Linked DNA regions of Canis lupus familiaris. The protein of the gene in region 2 purifies or fractionates together with the protein of the main gene of each other region. This does not show direct contact. Links are inferred from orthologs where the notes say so. Each region holds a gene or a part of one and is shown on either strand. Other genes may lie near its edges.

What was found.
Region 1: the proteins of CAPZA2 (region 2) and MTCL1 purify together in Homo sapiens (affinity purification with mass spectrometry; 3 studies listed by BioGRID and IntAct, counting the BioPlex papers as one, with this or other methods). This does not show direct contact. The link is inferred for Canis lupus familiaris from reciprocal best matches to the Homo sapiens genes CAPZA2 and MTCL1.
Region 3: the proteins of CAPZA2 (region 2) and WASHC5 purify together in Homo sapiens (affinity purification with mass spectrometry; 3 studies listed by BioGRID and IntAct, counting the BioPlex papers as one, with this or other methods). This does not show direct contact. The link is inferred for Canis lupus familiaris from reciprocal best matches to the Homo sapiens genes CAPZA2 and WASHC5.

The regions. Positions count from the first base shown.
Region 1 is NC_049228.1:75,040,211-75,047,281, reverse strand, and holds the end of MTCL1 (microtubule cross-linking factor 1), read right to left. Parts: intron 5,882-7,071; coding exon of another isoform or gene 5,843-5,881; exon of another isoform or gene 5,825-5,842; intron 3,125-5,824; coding exon 2,930-3,124; 3' UTR 1,943-2,929; downstream 1-1,942. UniProt on the Homo sapiens protein: Microtubule-associated factor involved in the late phase of epithelial polarization and microtubule dynamics regulation.
Region 2 is NC_049235.1:55,890,489-55,897,743, reverse strand, and holds the start of CAPZA2 (F-actin-capping protein subunit alpha-2), read right to left. Parts: upstream 4,867-7,255; 5' UTR 4,760-4,866; coding exon 4,721-4,759; intron 1-4,720. UniProt on the Homo sapiens protein: F-actin-capping proteins bind in a Ca(2+)-independent manner to the fast growing ends of actin filaments (barbed end) thereby blocking the exchange of subunits at these ends.
Region 3 is NC_049234.1:23,488,031-23,495,285, reverse strand, and holds the start of WASHC5 (WASH complex subunit 5), read left to right. Parts: upstream 1-2,380; 5' UTR 2,381-2,517; intron 2,518-4,331; exon of another isoform or gene 4,332-4,415; intron 4,416-7,255. UniProt on the Homo sapiens protein: Acts as a component of the WASH core complex that functions as a nucleation-promoting factor (NPF) at the surface of endosomes, where it recruits and activates the Arp2/3 complex to induce actin polymerization, playing a key role in the fission of tubules that serve as transport intermediates during endosome sorting.

The DNA.
Region 1 (7,071 bases), on a different chromosome or scaffold from region 2:
CAACATCTCTCCCTGCCTTTACACTGAAATCTTGCTCATTCTTGAGGTCCAACTCAAGCCCTACTCTACTTAGGATTTACACCACGGCGTTCTTGCATTTTGTTTTAGTGCTTGGGAATTTTATCTCCTCCAACCAGATCGCATGTTTTTTCTGATGACCAGACCTCTTCTAACTCTGGGGCACCCCGTAGTCGTACACAACCTGCGCTGCCTGCCAGGCAACTTCTCCTCTGTTCTGCCAACCTCTGGTTCTCCTCTGCTGGGCAAATGTGTCAGCGACTGGCTCAGGGAGTGACATGTGAGTAACAGGAGACCCATGAGATTTATGACACCTGGGGCTTTTGCTGGAGCCACCAGAAAGAGATCTTCTTTATCCATGAGTTGATAAACTGATAGGGGCTGCTGGGGACCATCGTAGCTGACTCTCAGATGATTGAGAAGCGAGCCCACAGAAGGGAGCAGAGCCAGGGGGCAGAGCAGAGTCCTGATGGCACTGTCGGAGGCTCTGGATTGTAACCGCGCTTGATGCTAGCACTTCTCCACTTATGAGGGCCAACAACTTCCCTTCTTCCTGCTGGTTGGTTGCTTCCAACTGGAGATACACTAATGCGCCTTCCAGCATTTACTGTGGGCAGGGCACATGGTAGGCACAAAAGGTTTGCTGACTTGGCAGTTTGTTTGCCGCTAGGTCTAGAGTAGTCAGGTGGAGTGTTTTTTGCATTAAACATTGTTATTGTGGTAAAATATACGTTGACATTCACCATTTTAATCATTTTAAGTGTAGAGTTCGTTGGCATTAGGGACATTCACATTGTTGTGTAACCATCACCACCATCTGTTGCCAGAACATCCCAATCAGAAACCATATCCACTAAACACTAACTCTCTGTTCTTTCCTCTCCCCAACTCCTGGTAACCATTATTTTACTTTTTGTGTCTGTGAATTTGACTACTTTATGTACTTCCAAGAAGTGGAATCATACAATAGTTATTTTTGTGATTATTTTGTGATTATTTCATTTAACATAGCATCCTCATGATTGGTGCATGTGGTAGGCAGCATGTGCCAGACTTCCCTGGCTTTCTAAGGCTGAACATTCCGGAGCATGTACACACCACATCTCATTTACTCACTCACTGATTGACAGGTTGTTTCCACCGGTTGGCTTTGTGGATCGCGCTGCTGTGACTATCAGTGCGCAGATAGTTCAAGTCCCAGCTTTCATTTCTTCTGGGCCTGTGGCCACAGCTGCTGGGGCACAGATAATTGTTTCACCTCAGGACCCATCCTGCTGTTCTCCACAGCGGCTGCACAAACAGCACCCCAGGGTTCCAGCATCTCCACGTTCTCACCAATAGATGGTATTTTCCATTTTAGGGGAAAATATTTAACTTAAAGGTAGAACTGTTGTAATGCTGGGAATAGAGCTTATTCTGTTAGCCAGTCTAGAGAAGGACAGCACTGTTGAGTCAATGGGACATGAAGGCCAGAAGCTTCGGCCCAAAGTAGTTCTTTCACTCTTTACCAGCATCACCTCTTTATAAACTCCCTACTCTGTTACACACTGACAGGCCGGGTGACACCTCTTTGTCAGGGAGGGAAGCCGGTCCTGGTGATTGGCCACTCCCCCTTTCCCAGGGAGGGGAGAGGGAGAGAGGCCAGGCACATTTTGACTTGTGGGTAACAGTTGCCTCACACCTCCATGCCCGCCATGTTTTCAACCAGAAGTTGCCTTGTCATCAACCCCAGGGCGCTCTTATGGAGAAGAGGGAAGCTGTGGCATACCAGGTGCTCACGGTGTACCCCCAGTGAGGTGTGTTAGCAGCTGTTGCCTCTTTACAGGACCTCCCCTTTTCCTCGTTCCCCTGGCTACGGAAAACTATTGCTTGAGCCCTTAGGGGAAGATGGAGGGCATGTGAAACATGAGGTCCCGGAACAGGCTGCCATCTTGAAAGGCTTTATTTCTACTTCATCATTGTCTCATACAGACTCTGAGGGACCATCCTTTGCTTCAGTTTGGTACCCTCCGGACTTTTTGCAGTGCTTTTCCTTAAACAAGAAAATTTTGAGTAAACACTGTATATTGCCAGTTCATCTTTAACAATAATTTAAAAATGCCATTGCTGTTGTATCTCAATGCAAGAGGACAACGATGAAAGTACAGTACGAGGGATTCACAACGTATTACAGTGGGACAGATGACTCACACTTACGCAATGGTAGGACCACAGTAGCAGTATGTACATGCACCCCAGAGCGCTTCGAACCCAAAGACATGCAAGTCGAGTAGAGTACGTGGATTATACAGCAAATTTGGTAAGCCCAGCTGAGGACTCTGTACCTTTGCAAGAATGCTGACGTGTATCCCCTCCAGTAGAGAGGATATCCGTCTTGTCGACTGGCTTCATGGCTTTTTCACTATAAAAAGTTCACTGAATCAGTCTGAAGCATTTCAAAAATTCTTAAAAAACAAGAACACTGACAAAATGAAGTTAACTTAAAACACTCTACTTCAATGTGGGAACAAATCAAACCAAGGCGTAACAGTGCAAATTTAACAGAGAGGCAGTCAGTATTGAGAGCAAGGGTGTTCAGAATCTCTTAAAATGTACATCTTTAAAACTTTTATTTTTTAAATTTATATCTTATCTAGCTTTTTTGTTTAATATACTGTGTAAAAAAGATGGAGACAAAAATAGTTTTCTGAGCTATGAAAAAAATTAAGTTATTACAGGCACGTTTACGGTTTCGTTCTAGAAACATCTCAGGTTCACAGGTTGGACATTCAGCAGCTGTGTGTTTTTTAAAAACATTCTTTGACCTTGGGAAAGCTAGATCTTTCCTTGTGGGTGGAGCTTGGTTGATGACAGCGTGGTTATGCAAATTACAGGGAATCATTCCCTGATAATCCATGCAAACTTGCACTCGTCACAGGTGTGTCTTCTCCCCCGGTGGCTCCTCATCGCCGAGCTCCTCCAAGGAGGCTGGGTCTCCGGGTGACTGAGCCAGTGAGGCAGTGGGGGAATGTGAGGCCCAACGGGACGGAAGGCGACGGTTTGCTGGTCTCTCGGGCCTGGAGAAGCAGGGTTCTAGGGATGGAGCTAGTGCGGAACAAGGTAGTTCCTTCAAAGCCGAGAAAGAGAAAGACAGGGTTACTCAGAACCACAGTTCCTTTGTGGGGGGAAGGGGGTGACTCTCCCCAAACACACTTCTCAACAGACTCCAGTTAAATGCAATGGATTAGGGGCAACTTCCCAATGTTAATTTATACTTGCTCCAGGAGAATAACAAAATGGTCAGTGAAAAATTCAAACAGATGATCAGTGACAGAGGAATGAGAAGATAGCAAATTATGATCAAAATATGGCAATGCTGTGAGATGGGTATGTTTACACAAGCATCTTCAGAATTGGGCTAGAGCCTATGGAAGGTGGGGGAAAGCCACAGGCCACCTGGTCATGGTCTGACTTGGCTGACCCCATCCTTCTGGCCCTCCTGAGTGATCTATTAGCCACAGTGACCTGGCCCTAAAAGGCCAGTCTCCCTACCCTTTGGTCTGTTGGAGGCCCATGAAGAGACGGATGATTTATCCAGCTGTATTAGCAAAAAGACTCACCTTAAAACGAACTCTGCTACTGTTTATTCCAAGTTGACTGACAGTGGGTTAAACAAACTCCCACAACATGGAAAAAAAATGCTGCAGGCAGAAATTTTAACTTCGGTCTGGTTTTTAATGACTCTTCCCTGCTGCAGCATTTTAGAAAGTGGCATCAGAGTGTGCTTGTGCTTCTGTTATAGGCATCCTACGCCTTCTGAGAACAGATAATGCAAGACACACTCAACTGTGGGGCAGACCACCTATAATACATCTTCCCGGGCCAAGGCTCCTTTTCTGGTGTTAACGAATGTCCAGCTACTTGTCCTTAGTCTGCAGGCTAGGAAACAAGGATGCCCAAACCTGGAGTCTGCTGGTGCACGAAGAGTGCGGGTGGTGGGAGGAAACCCGAGTTCACCGGGCGGAACCCACCTGCCCAGGTGACACTCAAACAAGAAAAAGCTGAGATGGTAAGCCACTGCAATGAAGAATGACAGCAAATACAGGCTCTCAGAGCCCAAAGGGAAGGACATCAGAGGACGGACATAGATGTGACAAGCAAGTGCAGAGGCCAGGATGAGGAGGGTTTAGTCTGCAGAGCAGGGAGTGACAGTGGAGAAGAGACGGTGGGCTGTATCCATGGGCACAGTGAGGACTAAGGAGAAGAGGGGAGGCAGAGCGCCGCCTTGGGGCTTCTGGAAGAGTGATGGAGTGAGGTGGGCCTTGCTTCCCCGTGGGCCCCACGGGAAATGGCATGAACACTGAGATACTTCTAAACATCCCCGGCCTCCTTGTGACGGCAGTTGTAGCAGAGGATGGGGAAACCTTGATTAGCAAAGTGCTAGGCTGGTGGGAACCATGGCAACCAGGAAGACCTCGCCCACAAAGGCCTGAAATAGCTGAAATGCAAACTAGGTGGGGTGAGCTGTCCTCTCCTCACCTCAGCCCTGCTATGCACATGCGTGGAGGTGCATGGTTTAGGACACCTGCTACTGCTTTGTCTTTTTCTGTCTCTGCTCCTCCTATTGTCAGATTTGTGTGTTGTGTGTTTGTATTGTGTATGTTGTGTAGTATATAAGTGTGTTGTGTATGTGTGACATCATGTTGTGTACAAGTATGTGCCTTGTATGAGGATGTTATGTGTGCATCGTGGGTCATTTTGTGCATGAGTGTCATGTGCTGCATGTGCTATGTATGAGTGTGTGGTGTGTGCCAGGTGTGAATACTGAGATGGCTGCTATCATGGGTTTTTTCCAACACCGCTGCAGCCCATTGCCACCTGGCCGATACTGAACCAGAACGGGCTTTTGATTAGACAGCGTGGTGCCACTTCTTCATCATGTGAACCCCTATAGGGAGAAATGTGTGACCGGGTTCAAGAATGGACTCTTTCTTTAGTAACACACCAGTACATACATGCAAATGGTCCCGTCCTTCCCTAAGAAGCCACTGCAATGGCTTAAAATGTGGCCATTTTATCTTGAGAGCACCTTTTTAGTCTTTGAGAGCCAACTGCATTTTTGTATTTAACACTCTGAGTTAAGACTAGTGGGTGAGGTGGGTGGGTGACTAATTCGTGATCAGACATAAAACTGGTATTTTTTCACATGCCTCGATTCAGGCTCAGATGGCAATTCTGTGAGACTATTTTTTGGAGCAAGGGATGGCTTTGTTGTTGATTCATCCAACAAATATTTATTGAGCACTTACTACATCACCTATGGTGATCACTTCGAAGGACAAGATACATTTGGATTTATTCCTTCTGGTGCGGGTGTTGAAAGAGAGAGAAAAGCCTCATCGAATTATGGTCACATCTCATTATAGCATCTAGTAGTGTACGTGTGCCTCCAGGATACCAGCGAGCAGGGACAGGCCACCTGGGAACATATTCGGCTCACAGATCCCCACCGACCAGGCCTCTCTGCCAGAGACAGTCCCTTCTCCAGCCAATATACCTTTACTCCTATGAGAGCAGAGAGTGGAAATCTCAGCAGGATTTCTTCGGTACTCTGTGCGGCCACTGGGAATGTCTAGGCTTGCCCATCTGTCCCTGAATGTGGACTGTAGGCCAGTGCAGGTGGTGGGCTCTATGGTCAGGGCAGATCTACCTGGCACGTTTCAGCCTTGTTTCTGAGGCTGAATCGTGGCATTTCTGACGCCAACCAACCCCAGGTTACACAGATGACCTTTCCAGACGGTGTGCAAAGAAGGTAGAAAGCACTTACGGCGTGAGGCCGGCAGGGCTAGAGTTCCCAGGGGGCAGTTAGTAAGACAGTTTGGTTCTGGACAGAACAGACAGAGAAAGAAAAGAAAAGCAAGTAGGTTGGAAAGTACTTTTTAAACAAGAAGAACAGTAAAGGTTTAAAGTCAACAAGCCTGGTGGTAGTTCCAGGGACAGCTATCAGGAGAAACATGGGGCCTGCAGAAACGGGCAGGTGCACCCCGGGTACGCAGACCTCTCTCTGCATGGGTCCAGGTGGTTTGGAGCATGGAAGGACCCTCACTGCAGAACAACATCCGATCTCTCCCCTCTGCTTTCTGTTCTTCCCTGATTGGCCCTTTAGCACTTAACATTTCAGAAACCCTTTGGTGTGCATAGAGATGGAAGTCACATGACTGTTGTATTTGAAACAGAGGATTAAATGGTCTGTTTTTGTCACAATGATCACATGGTTACTGCTCACACTAAAAGTTTCCCCTTGTATTTTCCACTAGACACAGGAGGGAAGAATAGCACTGCATTTCCAGATTATTCTTTCCCTTCACACCATAACTCATCTCTTAGCTTCTCCGCATGATAGAACTGGTGCTACAGTATCAAGAGAAAAAAAGAGGATAAATATAGCCATGGGACAGGAGTGAGAAAAGACAAGGGAGATTTCCCGCCATGCCCCCAGCCAGGGAGGCCAATGTCCAGGCATCCAGGGAACATTTAGGGAAGGGCCCACTGCGGGGTGCTCAGGGCAGGTTGGACAATCAGCACAAGTCCTGGTGATTTTGGAATGAAAACCCAGAACTACTTATTACATAATTTAGGGGATGATGGGAAGGGATTTCCAATGGGCCTATTACAGGAAGTCAATTTAGATAGGAACAATGTCACTGGAATCTAGAACAAGCAAAATACCAACAGGAAAGGAAACAGGAGCCCATAGTATTTAATCTCTGCCAGTGAGTGCTCCAGGCAAGTACTGAATTCCCCGAATTAGCCGATCATCTCTTTGGTAGCAAACACACCCAGTGAGAAGATAATTTAAATGGACATTTTACAGAGAGGACCAAAGTGGCAGGGGGATGGGCATAGCTCCGTACTGATAAATTCGTTTTCATGCCTTAGAGCTGCTTTAGCCATTAAGCGGTTGTCTTTCTATTATCATAGATTGCTTGGAGCATTCACTGTAACTCAAAGCCCTTTTTGGTTCCTAAACATTAATTTCTCTTTAGTTTCTAATATTAATGGACATCACAGACC
Region 2 (7,255 bases):
ATTTAATACTAATGATATGTTATAGCCAGACACGTGGTCTGCGATAAATCTTGAGGGATGAGTAAGATTTTCATCTTTCAAAAAAGTGGACTAGGAAGCAGTTCTAACATCAAAAAGTGGGTAAGAAGGTATCAGCAAAACAAAAAAAAAAAAAAAACAAACTACAATTTACTGTGTGTTTACTATATGCCACGTACCATTTATATGTATCCTCACATTTCAGAGGAAACAGGCTGAGAGGTTACATACTTTATCCAAGGTGCTAGATAGACGTGGACTAGCACATAGGTCTTCTTCAATTCACAGCATGATTAAGTATGTATTGGAGTCAGAACTATCAAAGTAAGGATGGGATACAAGGCCACTAGTATCATTTTCAAGAGTTGGGCTTCCTTGTAAAGGCAATGGAGGATCCAGCAACTAAAAGTTTGGGAGTACAAAAACAACATACTAAAACATGACTCTGACACAGGAAATTGGTGGAATTAGTCTAGAAAGTTTATAACAAAAAGCCTACTGTGGCAAATACAAAAGAAGGGAAAGGCCAACTATGAGACATTCTTCTGATCCTACTTGTCCTCCTCTGGCTTTATTTCTCCCTTAACTGTGTAGTCACAGAACAGGTATAGTCAATTTGTATTCTATTCATACCATAAAATTTTGTTACTGAACAATAGTAGTTAATAATGTAAATAATAGTTTAATAGTCTGGTCAACTGAGACGTAAAAAACTAAAATTAATATAAATGAATTACCTTTTCAAGCAAAAAGAAATTTTTTGCACAAGACACATTTTGATGATGGGAGCAACAAGATTCAGAAACAGACTCTAAGGTACAGAGCTCGAGGAGGCAAAAGTTAACATAAAGCTGAAGTTAAAAACCAGGATAACTAGAATAATGGAAATAGAGAAATAAAGAGAAAAATGAGCAGGAGATAGATTTCTGCCCCACTTGGTGTAGAAGGAAAGGGGAAGGGAGGGAGTTTATGAATTTACTCTTAGGAAGGTTCCGTCTGAACACATCTCATTAACTGTCTCCTGTGAAAAGGACGAGCCAATAAAAATGTGTGACTAGTGCTCAGAAGGGAAGTTAGGACTGAGCTATGTATTTGAGAAATGTTCATAAAAATGAAGCTATGGAAGTGGATCACTCTTATCATCAGAGAAAGGTAGGAGGGGTTATAGGGAAAAAAAACCAAAAAGATCCTTTCCAACTAATAACTGTCTTCCTTCTGGAGCTCGGGAGTGACTTTCCTCTGTTAGGAGGGGCGTGAAACGTATTAATTCTCCTGCTTTATACTGTAATTTCACATAATTTCAAATTCACAAAATTGCTTTACTCTACAATGCAACTAACCCCAGGAATGGAAAACATGAACTGTTTTTGGCCTAGAATTTCTAAACAATGTAAAAAAAAGTATCTCTGGGACGTGCTACCACAAATGAGTAACTTTAAAGAACATCACTGTGCTTCTTCAGATAATTTTATTTCCTATTAATCTAGTGGCCAAAGGTGAAAAGGTTATTAAATTTCATAGTGGTATCCTCACAAAGCAATTGTACATGATTTTAAAAAACAAAGATGTTATTCTAGATGAATCTTTATAAAATGCTTCCTACCTTAGTTTGCATATATGAAACTATACCAGTAGCATAAAATTTTAAAATGTGTAAATAATAAACTTTGTCCTAAAATAAACAAATTCAGTTTATAATGCAACACTATTAATGTTAGATATTTACAATTTTTAGTAAAAACAAAAAGAACTACTGTTTTCTCCTTTTCCAAAAGAAGTTGTCAACAAATTGAAAACAAAGATAAAGCCAGAAAAGATCCTATCATTCATTGTCAAGGGAGCGTAATTGTCACAACAGTACCAACTCTGGATTCAGACAGACAGGTATAAATATCCCCTCTGCCTGGACACCTGGGGAGCTCAGTGGCTGAGCGTCTGCCTTTGGCTCAGTACCTGATCCTGGAGTCCTGGAATCGAGTCCCACATAGGGCTCCCTGCATCGATGGAGCCTGCTTCTCTCTCTGCCTCTGTGTCTCTCATGAATAAATAAATAAAATCTTTAAAATATATGTATATATATTCCCTCTGCCACTTCTTACCTAGGCATCCTTGGGTGAATCACTTAAAAGCTACTGAAACCTTATTTTATGTACCTGTGAAATGGTATAATAAAACCTACCTCAAACTTACAACATATTAACAAATGTATGTACCGGTCTGGGCCACCCAATGTACGGGTATTATGTAAATTAACAGATTCCCTTCTTCAGATCTTCAATCAATAATGGAAATTCCAACAGCTTAATAGTATTAAAAGTTTATTTTTGAAAATTACAAATAAGGTGGCAGAAAAAGTAACACGATTTAAATATTAGTTTTAAAATACCAAAAATAAATACATAAAAATAAAATACCACCTTTTAAAATTTTATTTGATTCTATACCCAACCTACTCACAAAAGATTAAAAGAACATTTAAATAACTAAAGTGGCAAGTGTGTTAGCATTTCATTTCACCAGTTATTTGAATGTAACCCAGAAGTTTGGTCTTCTTAAATCACTAAATATAGCAATGAACTATATATGAAAATATCAACAAAATAGTCTTAGGAAACAACAAAAACACCAAATTCCTTCAAATTTTTTTTCTTTTTTTAAAATTTTATTTATTCATAAGAGACAGAGACAGAGAGGAAGAGACATAGAGGGAGAAGCAGGCTTCCTGCGGGGAGCCCGAGATGGATGGGACTCCATCCCCGGACCCCGGGGTCATGCCCTGGGCCTAAGGCAGATGCTCAACCGCTGAGCCACCCAGGCGCCCCAAATTTGAATTTTCATTCATTTAGTCTTAAACCACCAAGTTGGGAAAGCTTGGAGGATTAAGACACCCTCCTCCCTCCTCTTTAGGGAGTTTAGTGCCCTGAGAATGCCAGATAATGAGGAACCTCGTCAATTCATTTGGAGAAAACTTTGCCATTTTTAGGCCTTTACAACACACGGCAGGACTCTATTAACTGCCGCACTGAATTCTCTCTCCTCAGCCAGATTCTAGCCACTTAAACTACTAACCACTACTTAAGGACAGCAGAATGAGACCATGACAATCCCTTTAAAGACCTTTAGCACTAACTTTAAACGTGTGTGCTCGGATCCTGAACATTTTCTGTGGTGAACTCATGGTTATTTAACCTATTATAGCACAAGTGCACACTTCAGAGCAACTTTTGCATATGCAAGGGATCTGCCTGCCAGGTCCGTGAATTAGGGAGAACCTTGCAGCTCTCCCCATCTTGTCCTTTTATGATCACTTGCACCAAAGGGCTCAGAGGGAAGAAAAGCAAAGCAAAGCAAAGCAAAGGAAAGGGGAAGGGGAGGAAAGGGGAAGGGAAGAGGAAGGGGAAGGGAGGGGAAGGGAAGGGAAGGGTAAAGGAAAGAAGGAAAAGACAGGAAAGGAAGATTTCCAAAATCGAAGATGAGGCCCACTAATGCACATTTACATCGGGAAGGCGACAGGACATTACATTTTGGTGCTGGTTTACATCCCAGGCTATTAAAAAAACAAAACAAAACAAAACAAAAAAAACATGGAGCAGAGCTGTAACTGAAAATATCCTTAGGCTTTACATTAGGATTTCTTAAACACCCTGAAGTGTGTTTCATCCGCGGCTGTACCGCTTTGGAACTTAAAAAATAAATAAATAAATAAATAAAAATAAATAAATAAATAAAGGTGAACACTGTGAAATTAAGAGTGGACGCTTGGAAAACTGTAACTATCTCAATCCACAGATTAGGTCCCGTCAACGTTTCTGAGTTTGAGAAACGTCAAAGTTCTTCCGGGAAAATGCGGAAAATCAATACGCCCCCCCCCCCCGTTTTCCCCCCTTCCCCCCCTTCCCCCTCTTCCCTGGGGAATGGGCCCTCCTCACAGGGAAAGGGGGGGGGCGACCTCAGAGACCCAGTTTTAGGATCAGATTCCTTTTTGTTCGAAATCGCTTGAGACTCTGGGGCCGTTCGCGAGGTTTCGAAGCTGGCGCGGCCGCCACCACAGCGGCGCCGGGGCGGCCGGGCCGGGGCGGGCGGCAGACGGCGACGCGGAGCGGGGCGGGCGGGGGTCGCGGGGAGCGACTGGGCCGCCTCGCAGCCAACCGCGGAGCCGCACGGCTACGGCGACGGCCGGAAAAGAGAAACGGGAGACGGCGGGGGGGGGAGGGGGGGAGGGAGAAGAGAGACTTCCACTGGGAAAGGAGAAAAAAAAAAAAAAAAAGCGAAAAAAAAAAAAAAAAAGCGTCGAGAACCAGAAAAGGAAGCGTTTTGGCTTCTGGGAGGAGGGAGGAGGGAGGAGGCGAGGGTCGGCCTCCCAGGCGCCTGCCCCCTCAGCCCTCGGCCCTCGGCTCTCAGCCCGGCGGCAGCCGCCAGCCCAGGCCCCGCGCCCAGGCCGCGACCCGGCGCCCCCGCGCCCCCGCCGCCCCCGCCGCCGCCGCCGCCGCCGCCTGTTTCCAGAGCACACACCCTACAAGGCGCGGCGAGGCGCGGCGCGGCGAGGCAGGCCCGGCGCAGACCTGCCCCCGCGCGCGGCCTCCGTGACTGACAGCGGCAGGCGCTGAGGCGCCGCGGCGACCGGCGGGCAGGAAGGGCGGCCGAGGGCACACGCCGGGGCCCCTCCGCGGCCGCCGGCCTCCGCCGCCCGCGCGGCTCCTACCTTCTCCTCATCGGACAGCTGCTCCTCCAGATCCGCCATTTTCCTCCCGGCGACAGACCGCGGCGGCGGCGGCGGCGGCGGCCACCTGACTTCCCCCTCGCGCCGTGCGGTCCTCCGCGCCCCGCGCGCCCCCGCCGAGGGAGAGGCCCGCCGCCCAGCCCGCCGCGCACGCGCCCCGGAAGCCCCGCCTCCTCCTCCTCCTCCTCCTCCTCCCCCCTCTCCCCGCCGGCGCGGCTGTGCGCATGCGCGGGAAGCCGGCCGGCGCCGGGGGGCGGGGCCGAGCGCCGGGGGGCGGGGCCTGCCGCCGCGGGTGAGCAGCTGGGCCCGCGTCTGCGGCGGGTACATCCTGAGCCCATCCTGAGCCCATGCTGAGCCCATCCATCCTGAGCCCTCCATCGTGTTCCCGTCAAGCCCTCGGCTCTGCCAGCCACCCGGGGAAACAGCGGACGAATAGAAGCTTTGCAAGACCATCTGTTTTCTTCAAATCACTAGAAAAATATTCCGTCTTTATTAAAATATGCACGCACAGCCCAGCCCACACTCGGGACCTTGCTCTCGGTACAGTCAGTCGTGCATTCACTTAAAGAAATGTTAACTGGTCCTTTACCGTGTGCCGGGTTGGTCCCTGCAAATACACAAGGAGGAGAGAAAACCAGAGATCTCTGCTCTCCAGAGGCTCCCTGTCTACTCTGGAAACAAGCACTGAGCAGTTGGGGAGGGCGCTGTGCTATGGTGGGGGAAGACAAAGTTGTGTTAGAAGACGTGGTTCCTACTCTTCTGAACTTCATGGCGAGGTTGAAATCAGAGAGCCCTGTAAAATTTGAATTTCAGATGAACAGTGAATATCGTTTATGCATAAGTACCTCCCATGAAGCATTTGGGATGCACTGAGACGGTGTTGGTGGTTTTCAAATTGTATGGGAATCCTTTACTTTGATTTGCAAAATCTGAGAAGCTTACTCGTGACATTTCAAGTTCAGCAAAAGAGTGAAAATGTAGTAAAAACTGTGTATGTGAATTAGCTGGGGATCTTGTTAAAATGCAGTTACTGATTCTAGGAGGTCTGCGATGGGGCTGGAGAATCTGCCTTTATAACAAGCTCTCTCACACTTTTTAGCAAGGCCTGTAGAATTCAGATAGGACTTAAGACTTTATAATCGTTATGCTGTACATCTAAAACTAAATCAATGTTGTAGGTCAACTATGTCTCAATTTTAAAAATATTTTTAAAGACTTCATTCAGTCAAGCGCATGAATTCTATAATTTCTTTTAACTGTATCAAGAAGATGGTATTGGGAGATTTCTGAAAGGATTATCAGAAATGATACATAACTGCTGGTTGTGTCACTGTGAAGAGACGCATATAAAGTATCACCAAGATTATGAAGATAGTGTGACTCAAATTATTGCAAAGCATTACCAAATGTGGGTGAGGTTTCTAGAGGAAAAGAGCAGCCTGTTAGTCAAGCAACAGCATCTACTGAGAAACCCAGTGTGTACACATTAATATTAGGTGTTGCTAAGTAAACAGAAACAAACAAAAAACAGAAGAAAGGGGGAAAAAAAACCCAGAAGTAGAGTTGATGCAGCAAGTGGTGATGACTAAAACTGATAGTAATCAGTTGGAGAGAGTAATCACCTTCATTAGGTTGTATATGGAGGAGAGTGCCTAGACTTTAGAGAGGAAGAAAGATCTCAAAGTGCAACAACTTAGGATACAGAGTTAGAAGCCTGGATTATTCTTTTTTTTTTTTCAAGAGGCCTGGATTCTAATAGCAATTTAGTCGCTTGAGTGCAAACTTGAACAAATATTCAGCCTCGTTTTTTTCTCCTGGAAAATGGGTATAGTAATGCTGATAGATACCTTACTTCATGAGGTTGTAGTGAGAAATTGATGAAGCAATGAATGAATGACCTGTCAACTATAGAAAAATGAACATATTATTTATTTACATCCGATGAGGTCCCTGACCAAACCGTGTGGTTTATTCTCTATCATACCTTCTCTGCACCATTATCCTCAACAACACACCTGCTTTTTCCTTCACGTGTCAGCAAGCATCCCCTTCCTGTTCTCTCCCAGAATGGACTACAAGGTTTTCAATAGTATGGTTTCTGTTTGCTTTCCATCCACAAGAAACAATGATTTGCATACTCTGAACACTCAGTAAATTACTTAATAGCAGTGTTTTCTAGATTTATAGTGACTTGTGTGAAGGTACTTTCACATGTGTCATTTACATGCAGCAAGATTGATCTTGCTGGGCATGTTTCTAATGTCGTGTTACTGTTCAAAAGTTGTTGACAGCTACTCATTTCCTACTGAGTGAAGGGATTTATTGGTTTGTTTTTAGAAAGATTTTATGTATGTATTTGGGAGAGAAAAAATGCACAAGCAGGGGGAGCAGGAGAGGGAGAAGCAGGCTCCCCGCTCAGCAGGGAGCCAGACAGGTGTTCCCTCCCAGGACCCTGGGAACATGACCTGAGCTGAAGGCAGACCCTTAACCAACTGAGCCACCCAGGTGCCCCAAAAT
Region 3 (7,255 bases), on a different chromosome or scaffold from region 2:
TCTTTAAGCCACCCGTCTATGCTATTTTTTAATAGCACCTGGAATGGACAAAACACACAACGTATATAAGGAATAATACAATACAGGATAAGTGATGAGTGTCTCCCACATAGTAGCTATCCTTATTATGTGCATGCAAAATTCACATTACTCTAATGAAACTCTACGCTTGCAGAGAGCCGAGGGAAACTTCCTTCTGTAATTCTGGAGTATTTTCAGGAAAAAGATTTGGATTGAGAAGCAAAGAGAATGGATGGAGTAGACACACTCTTCTCTCTCTCTCTCCCGCTAAGAACAGCTAAGTACATAATTCACAGGACAACCCCACCCCCCTAAAGAATCATCTGGCCCAAAATGTCCATCATGAAACCTTGGTTTAAATCAACCTCCTCTTGAAGCCTTCCCTAGTAACAATAATCTCTTTGTTCCCTGTACCTACAGTTTCCAAGAAAGATTAAAGCAAGGTTTCCTGGCAACCCAGGTGGCCCAGCGGTTTAGCACCTGCCTTCAGCCCAGGGCACGATCCTAGAGACCCGGGATCGAGTCTCACATCAGGCTCCTTGCATGGAGCCTGCTTCTCCCTCTGCCTATGTCTCTGCCTCTCTCTGTGTCTCTCATAACTAAATAAAAATCATATATATATATATATATATATATATATATATATATATATATATATTTCCTGAGTTTTTCCCACGCATGTTATTTTCCCTTCCCATACCGAGCCTTGTCTTAGGCCATTCAGGCTGCTGCAACAAAATACCAGATTGGGTAGCTTACAAACAACAGAAATTGATGCCTGGAGTTCTGGAGGCTGGGAAGTCCAAGGTCAAGGTGCCAGCAGGGTCCCATTCCGGTGAAGGCCCTCTACCTCGTTCAGAGCCCCCAAGCCCTCTCACCCTTTGTCATCACAAGGTAGAAGGTGCAAGGGAGGGAGCTCTCAGGAGCCTTTTACAAAGGCACTAATTCCATTCATGAGGGCTCCACCCTCATCACCTAAGCACCTCTCAAAGGCCCCACTTCCTAATACTATATCACAACGGCATTAGGATTTCAACATATGAAGGGGCGGGGGGGGGGGCGCAGAAAAACATAAATATTCAGACCACAGCAAGTCTGATTCACTTCAGGCAGGGTCACTTATCAGCTGACTTGAAAATATTGTTTCCCCCGTCTCCTCTCTCCTTACAGCAGGGTGGTAGACCCAGAGCTAACAATTTATAGACACTCTGCCAAACGTCCTTCAAACCACGGGGCCTATGCAAGTCCAGCCAGAGCTACAGCTCCTTTTTCAAGATGCAAGGGTACGTCTTTCCTTATGAAACCGTCTCTTACCTATACGAGCAATTGCTCGTTCCCTCCCTCATGCTACTACTATGCCCCCTCTCCCTCACACACACACTTCTTCGTAAAACTCATCACAGCTATTTGTTCACCCGGCAGCCACTCCTTCACCCCGGGAGCAGCTTAAACCACAACCCTGACACGTTCTGCTAGCACATAAGACAGCTCCTCGTACGAAAGAGGCGATCAAAGAACGGAGGAGAGTGACGACAGGAACAGCAACCGCCCTTTCTTGGTTTTTTTTCTTTTTTTTTTTTTTTAAGATTCTACTTCTTTATTCATGAGAGACACAGCGAGAGAGGCAGAGACCCAGGCAGAGGGAGAAGCGGGTCCCACGCAGGGGGCCCGACCTGGGACTCGACCCCGGGTCTCCAGGATCACACCCTGGGCTGCAGGCGGCGCTAAACCGCTGGGCCCCCCGGGGATCCCCAGCAACCACCCTTTCGAGGCCCCCCACAGTGCGCCACAAACTGATGCCCTTGGCGCTACTTTCTCAGGACCGCTGATGCTCACAACCAATTATAGAAAAGGAAACTGAGGCCCAGGGAGCTCATTTAGACCTCCCGTCCGAGGCCCTGCTTTTAAAGACAGCTCAAAGCACACGAATCTGCAGCAGGAACCGTGAACTTTTCCCCCACTCGGGTGGGAGGATGGAGAGACGGCGCCTCGGGGAGGGGGCAGCCTGCCCAAGCCTCCGTGCTCGGCGTGCAGTGCCAGGACCACAGCCCGGGCGGACAGACCCCAGCTCAGGGCACCCGCGGGGCGCCCCACGGGGAGGCGACACCTGTCGCCACCCTCGCCCTCGCCACCCCCCGCTTCCGCCTTACCTGGAGGCGCGCCCCGGCTCGGTCTGGCAGCACCCGGACCGCCCACGCCCGGACCCCAACTCCTTCCTCAACTCCCTTCCCCAGTCGCTGAAACCGCGAGCGCGGGCTCGAGCGTCATCAGCCGTCGCCGGCCAGCGGTCACATGACGCCCCGCCCTGCTCCCGCCCCCTCTGGTCATGTGACTGCCACGGGCGCCACAGGCGGAAGCCGGGGTCCCGCCGGCTGGCGATCGGGGGCTGCGGCCGGAGGGGTCGTCGTGCGGGGAGGGGAGGCCGGGCACCCGCGTGCCGACCCCGCCCGCGCTCGCCGGCCCCGCACGTGCGCCCTGGCGCGGCCGGGGTGACAGGTGAGTGAGGGCGGGATGCGCTCTCCGGGGCCCCGGCCCCGCGCAGGGCCGCGCGGGCGGAAGGTGCGGCGTGGACGGGGAGTCGGGCTTGGAGGGCTGAGGGCCTGCCTGGGGCGGCGCTGCAGCCGCAGCTCTCCCACCTCCTCTCGGGGCCGTGGTTCTCCCCGCCGCGGACACTCAGCTGTTGGCCCGCCTCTGACCCCTCCAAGTTTCCAGGAGCCGCGCCGGGCGGGCGGCGTTAATCCTCCCCCTGCTCTCGAGAACACGGGGTGCTCGGCGAGGGCTTTGAGAGTCTGCTAGACCCGGGTTTGAATTCTAGCTCCGCCGTGGGTTCCGAACTTGAGCCAGTCATTGCTCCTCTCTGCACCCAAGTTCCCTCACCTGCGGCACGCCGGTGCCGAAGTTCTTTGCATTTTGGAAAATAGTTCCGAGGGTCCCGACAGGTTTGTGGCGCACGGTTGAAAACATAAATCAAGTCACGGTGCCGGTAATGGAGCCGGATTCCAAGTGCACGGAGTTTCCTCCAACAGAGATACTTGGGGTCGTGACAAGGGAGGGAGAGGTCTTCCTGCTTCTGCGCATAACCAGGAACGCCTCCCGTTTTTCGTTCTCCCGTCTTCCAGGATTTATGAATGGGGCTAGAGAGATCAGGCCCATTTCCGAACTTGCCTGGAAGAGATTTGTCACTTTTATTTTGATCAACAACCATTCTGTTTTGTTCCCGGTCATGGATAGGTGGAGCCCAGTGCTTCCTTCTTTATGGAACCGAGGTTTTATGAAAGGATTAAAAAAAAAAAAAAAGACTTCTTTTGTCCTCTGAGTAGGGCACACAGGTTTGTGTGGTTTGTCCCAGGACAATTTAATTTCCTTCAGAATTCAGTTCTGTACCTGTTGGGTAATTGGTATGATGGTGATGCCATGCTGCGTTCTTGAAACACGTTGTTGTCTTTTGTCTGGGGCTACCTTCCAAACTGAAAACCACAGTTCCATGCCAAAATTCTTAAAAATAAGTTAACAGCTGCTTTTTGGGGTGCCTTGTAAAGGAAGAGTAGGAAATCGAGTGGGATCTCTGGTTTCATTTCATGCCAGATAGTAATACAGCCTATATTGAGAAAACTGGTCTTTATGAGTTTCCTTCGTCTCTAGCACCAAGAGAACCACTAAATGGAAGATTTGATATAGGTTCATCTACAGTGTTTATCTGGGTCTCATTCGTTTTAAATCTCAACTAAGTATTAGCACCTTATGAAACCACCTGATTCTGAGAGCGCTGCAACATGATTAGGCATCTTTAATGTTGGTTTTAGATTCTGTTCTTTAGGGCAAGTTTCTCAACCAACAATGGGTTATCTACCAAATACTCTAACCAAATAATATTTTAAATGTTGCCTACAACGTAAGGATTTAAGGATTAAAATAAGGGGTAAACACACAAAAGTCTTCACTTATGTCATTATTCCAAGCCTAAGCTAACTTGACTCTCTGCGTGCCGGAGCTGAGTGTATCTCTTTTTTGTTTTTTGTTTTGTTTTGTTTTGGGGGGGGGGGCGGGTTTTGGTGGGTGAGGTAAGGAGAAGAAGGCAGGTAATGTTTTGCTTAAGATACTTTCTCCATGGTCCCATTGTCAATCCTATATTGGGATCCAAAATCTGGGAGCAGTTACACCAGTTAAACGTAGCTTGCTCACCTTGCAGTTGTGTCTTGAGTTTCATCCTACTTAGACCTGGATCTTCAGAGGAATTCAGTGACTTGTTGTTGTTGTTTTGTCCATTTGCCATTATTTTCCTCCTCTCCTTGTCTCATTTTCCCAACTAGACCATTTCAGTGCAAAAAAAAATGGAATGAAATTGGGGTGCCTGGCTGGCTCAGACAGTAGAGCATGTGGCTGATAATCTCAGGGTGAGTTTGAGCCCCACACTGGGGGTAGAGTTTCCTTAAAAAAAAAAAAAATGGAATGAGATGATCTGAAATTCAGCCTATTAGAGATCAATGTGGCTTAATGAGTAAACATTATGAGAAAACGAAAAGACTTGTTAATAATTTAATCCTTAATGTGTATTAAAGATCTCCTTATAAAACAAAGTTCTAAACAACTGTAGTGGTTTCTCAGCAATCCCTGCTCTTGGACCAACCCCATCTACTTCCTTTGATCTGTGCTTCTCTCACTTGCTCACTCTGTTCCAGCCACATCAGCCACTTGGCTATTCCTTCACATCTAGCACATTGCTGCTGCCCTGTGGCCTTTGCATTTAATTTAAACACTTCCTGGAATGCCCTCCTCCCAGATCATTACTGATTGTAAAATAACAGACTGCCCCAAAACCTAGTAATTTAAGACAAAAAAAATTTTTTTGGCTAATAGTTTCTGTGGTCAGGAACCTATGATGTAGCTTAGCTAGGTGCCTTTGGCTCAGGGGCTCTTAGGAGGTTGCAGCCTGGCTGTGAATAGAAGTTGTCTTATCTGAAGGCTCAACTGGGGTTGTGTGTAGTTCTATTTTCAAGCTCATTCAAGTGGTTGTTGGCAAGCCTCTCACTCCCTCATCACAGGGTACACTCACAACATGACAGCTTGCTTCCCCCAGAACAAACTAGCTAGGAAGGATGCCCCAGCCAGAAGTCACCATTTTTTGTGATCCAACCTCAGAAGTAATATCTTTTCCATCTGCCTTATTGTGTTCTTTAGGAGTCGGTAAGTCACCCTCAAGGAAAGGGTTCATACACAGGGCATGAACAAGGAGATGGAGGTCACTGGGAACTGTCCTAGGGGCTGCTGACCACACTCAAATACCCTTACTGCTTGCTTCCTTACTTCCTTCTGGTCCCTGCTCAAACATCTTATCACAGAGGCTGTAAAACAACACACACTCCATCTCTTTATCATGCTTTTTCTTCACAGCAATGATCACAGCCTGATACATAATGCATTTATTTATTATCTCTTCCCCACTCCTAGTAGTATGCAGGCTTTATGAGAGCCAGAACTTAGTTTTGTTTGCTGCAATATCCTCAGGTCCTAAAACAGTGCTTGACGCATAATAGGCACTGGGTACATATTTGTTGAATTAATGAATCTATACCAGTAGGATTCTGTAAAGAATCCAAAAGCCAACTAGCAGTAAATAAATCATAAAAATAGCTCATTTTACAAGGATTACAGAGGCAGGAAGTGCCACAGTTGAATCAATGAGTCAATAACATCAACAAGAATTTAGATTCTTGGGACGCCTGGGTGGCTCAGCAATTAAGCGTCTGCCTTCGGCCCAGCGCATGATCCTGGATTCCCGGGATGGAGTCCCACATTGGGCTCCCTGCATGGAGCTTGTTCTCTCTCTGCCTGTGTCTTTGCCTCTCTCTGTGTGTCTCTCATGAATAAACAAAATCTTTTTAAAAAAAGAATTTAGATTTTTTCTAAATTCCTTCCAAACCACAATCTGCAGGTTTTTGGCTTTTTTTCTTTTAGCTTGTCATCTTGTATTTCAGGCAAGATATGTTCATGGGACCACATTCAAAGGCAAGAAGGAGAGGGATAGCCAGAGGAAAGATAGAGAAATTTCTCTTCATATGCTTCTCTCCTTATAGCAAGAGGAAAAACAATATATTTCCTGTGAGGTCTACCATAGACTTCCTCTTTATATCTGATTGGTTGACACTGAGTCACATGTCTAACCTCACTTCAGGGGCCATGGAAAAATAAGGATCCACTTGTTTCCACCTCTGTAGGAAGAAAGGAAGAGGAAGGAGGAAATTCTTGCTGAGGAGTCGACAGCATGCCAGTAAATTAATACGTTTCTAAGTATTTAATCAATTCTAAGAGACGTACAGAAGGAAAAAAGAAAACCTTGAAGGGCTATACAAAGTTTCCAGGTATTAGATAGCTACACTAGGTAGCTTGACATGAGCAAACTCTGAATATATGTGGCAAGGGTTGGGGAATGTTTTGTTAGGGCTACAAAGGAAGCCTTCTGTCAAAAGTCTTCCCACATTCTGTTTTTGTGTGCAGCGACATCCTCATTGTTTCATCGTTCACTATCTGAGTCCCTACAGCTAGATTACATATTTACGAAAAAGTTGGCATTGATGTAAAAATTTTAATGAGCTGACCGCTTATACGATTAGTTCTTCTCATTCAGATATTTGTGTCCTAAAGGGTCTAGTGGGTTGAATTCTTATTTTTGTTGTTCAGTCTTCTTAATGTCATGTTGATAGAACACAGTGCCAGTGCGAAATGCAAATGTTGGGAGGTATACAGGCCTTCATGACGCTGAAAAATAATCCAGGCTTCCATGAAGTTGACCACGATGACCTAGCTAAATGAACAATTAGAGGAGAGAAATATAAGAAAGATGATGAGAAAATTAACACTTCCGAAGATAACGATTTGAAAAAGAGTTGGAAGAAGCTTTTGGGAAAATAAATGCTGCTGTGAACGTTTTTTGCAAAAATTACCTTTTTCTAATATCATGCTATAAAAGTCAGCTATGAAGTACAAGATACTGTATTATCAAACTCACAATTCGGTGAAATCCATGTTTGACTCATTCTTGGTTTGTCCTTTGAATGAGGACATAGTTATTGCACTTTTACACTAGATGTTGTTAGGTATGAAATTTACTTTCATAAATTTTAATGATACCATTTCAAGATACCTTTCTAATCAAAACTTTTCCATGGCTTAGCATGAAATACTTGTCCTTACTTTAGAGTCTCCCAATAGGATTTCTCAGGCATGTATTAGCCCT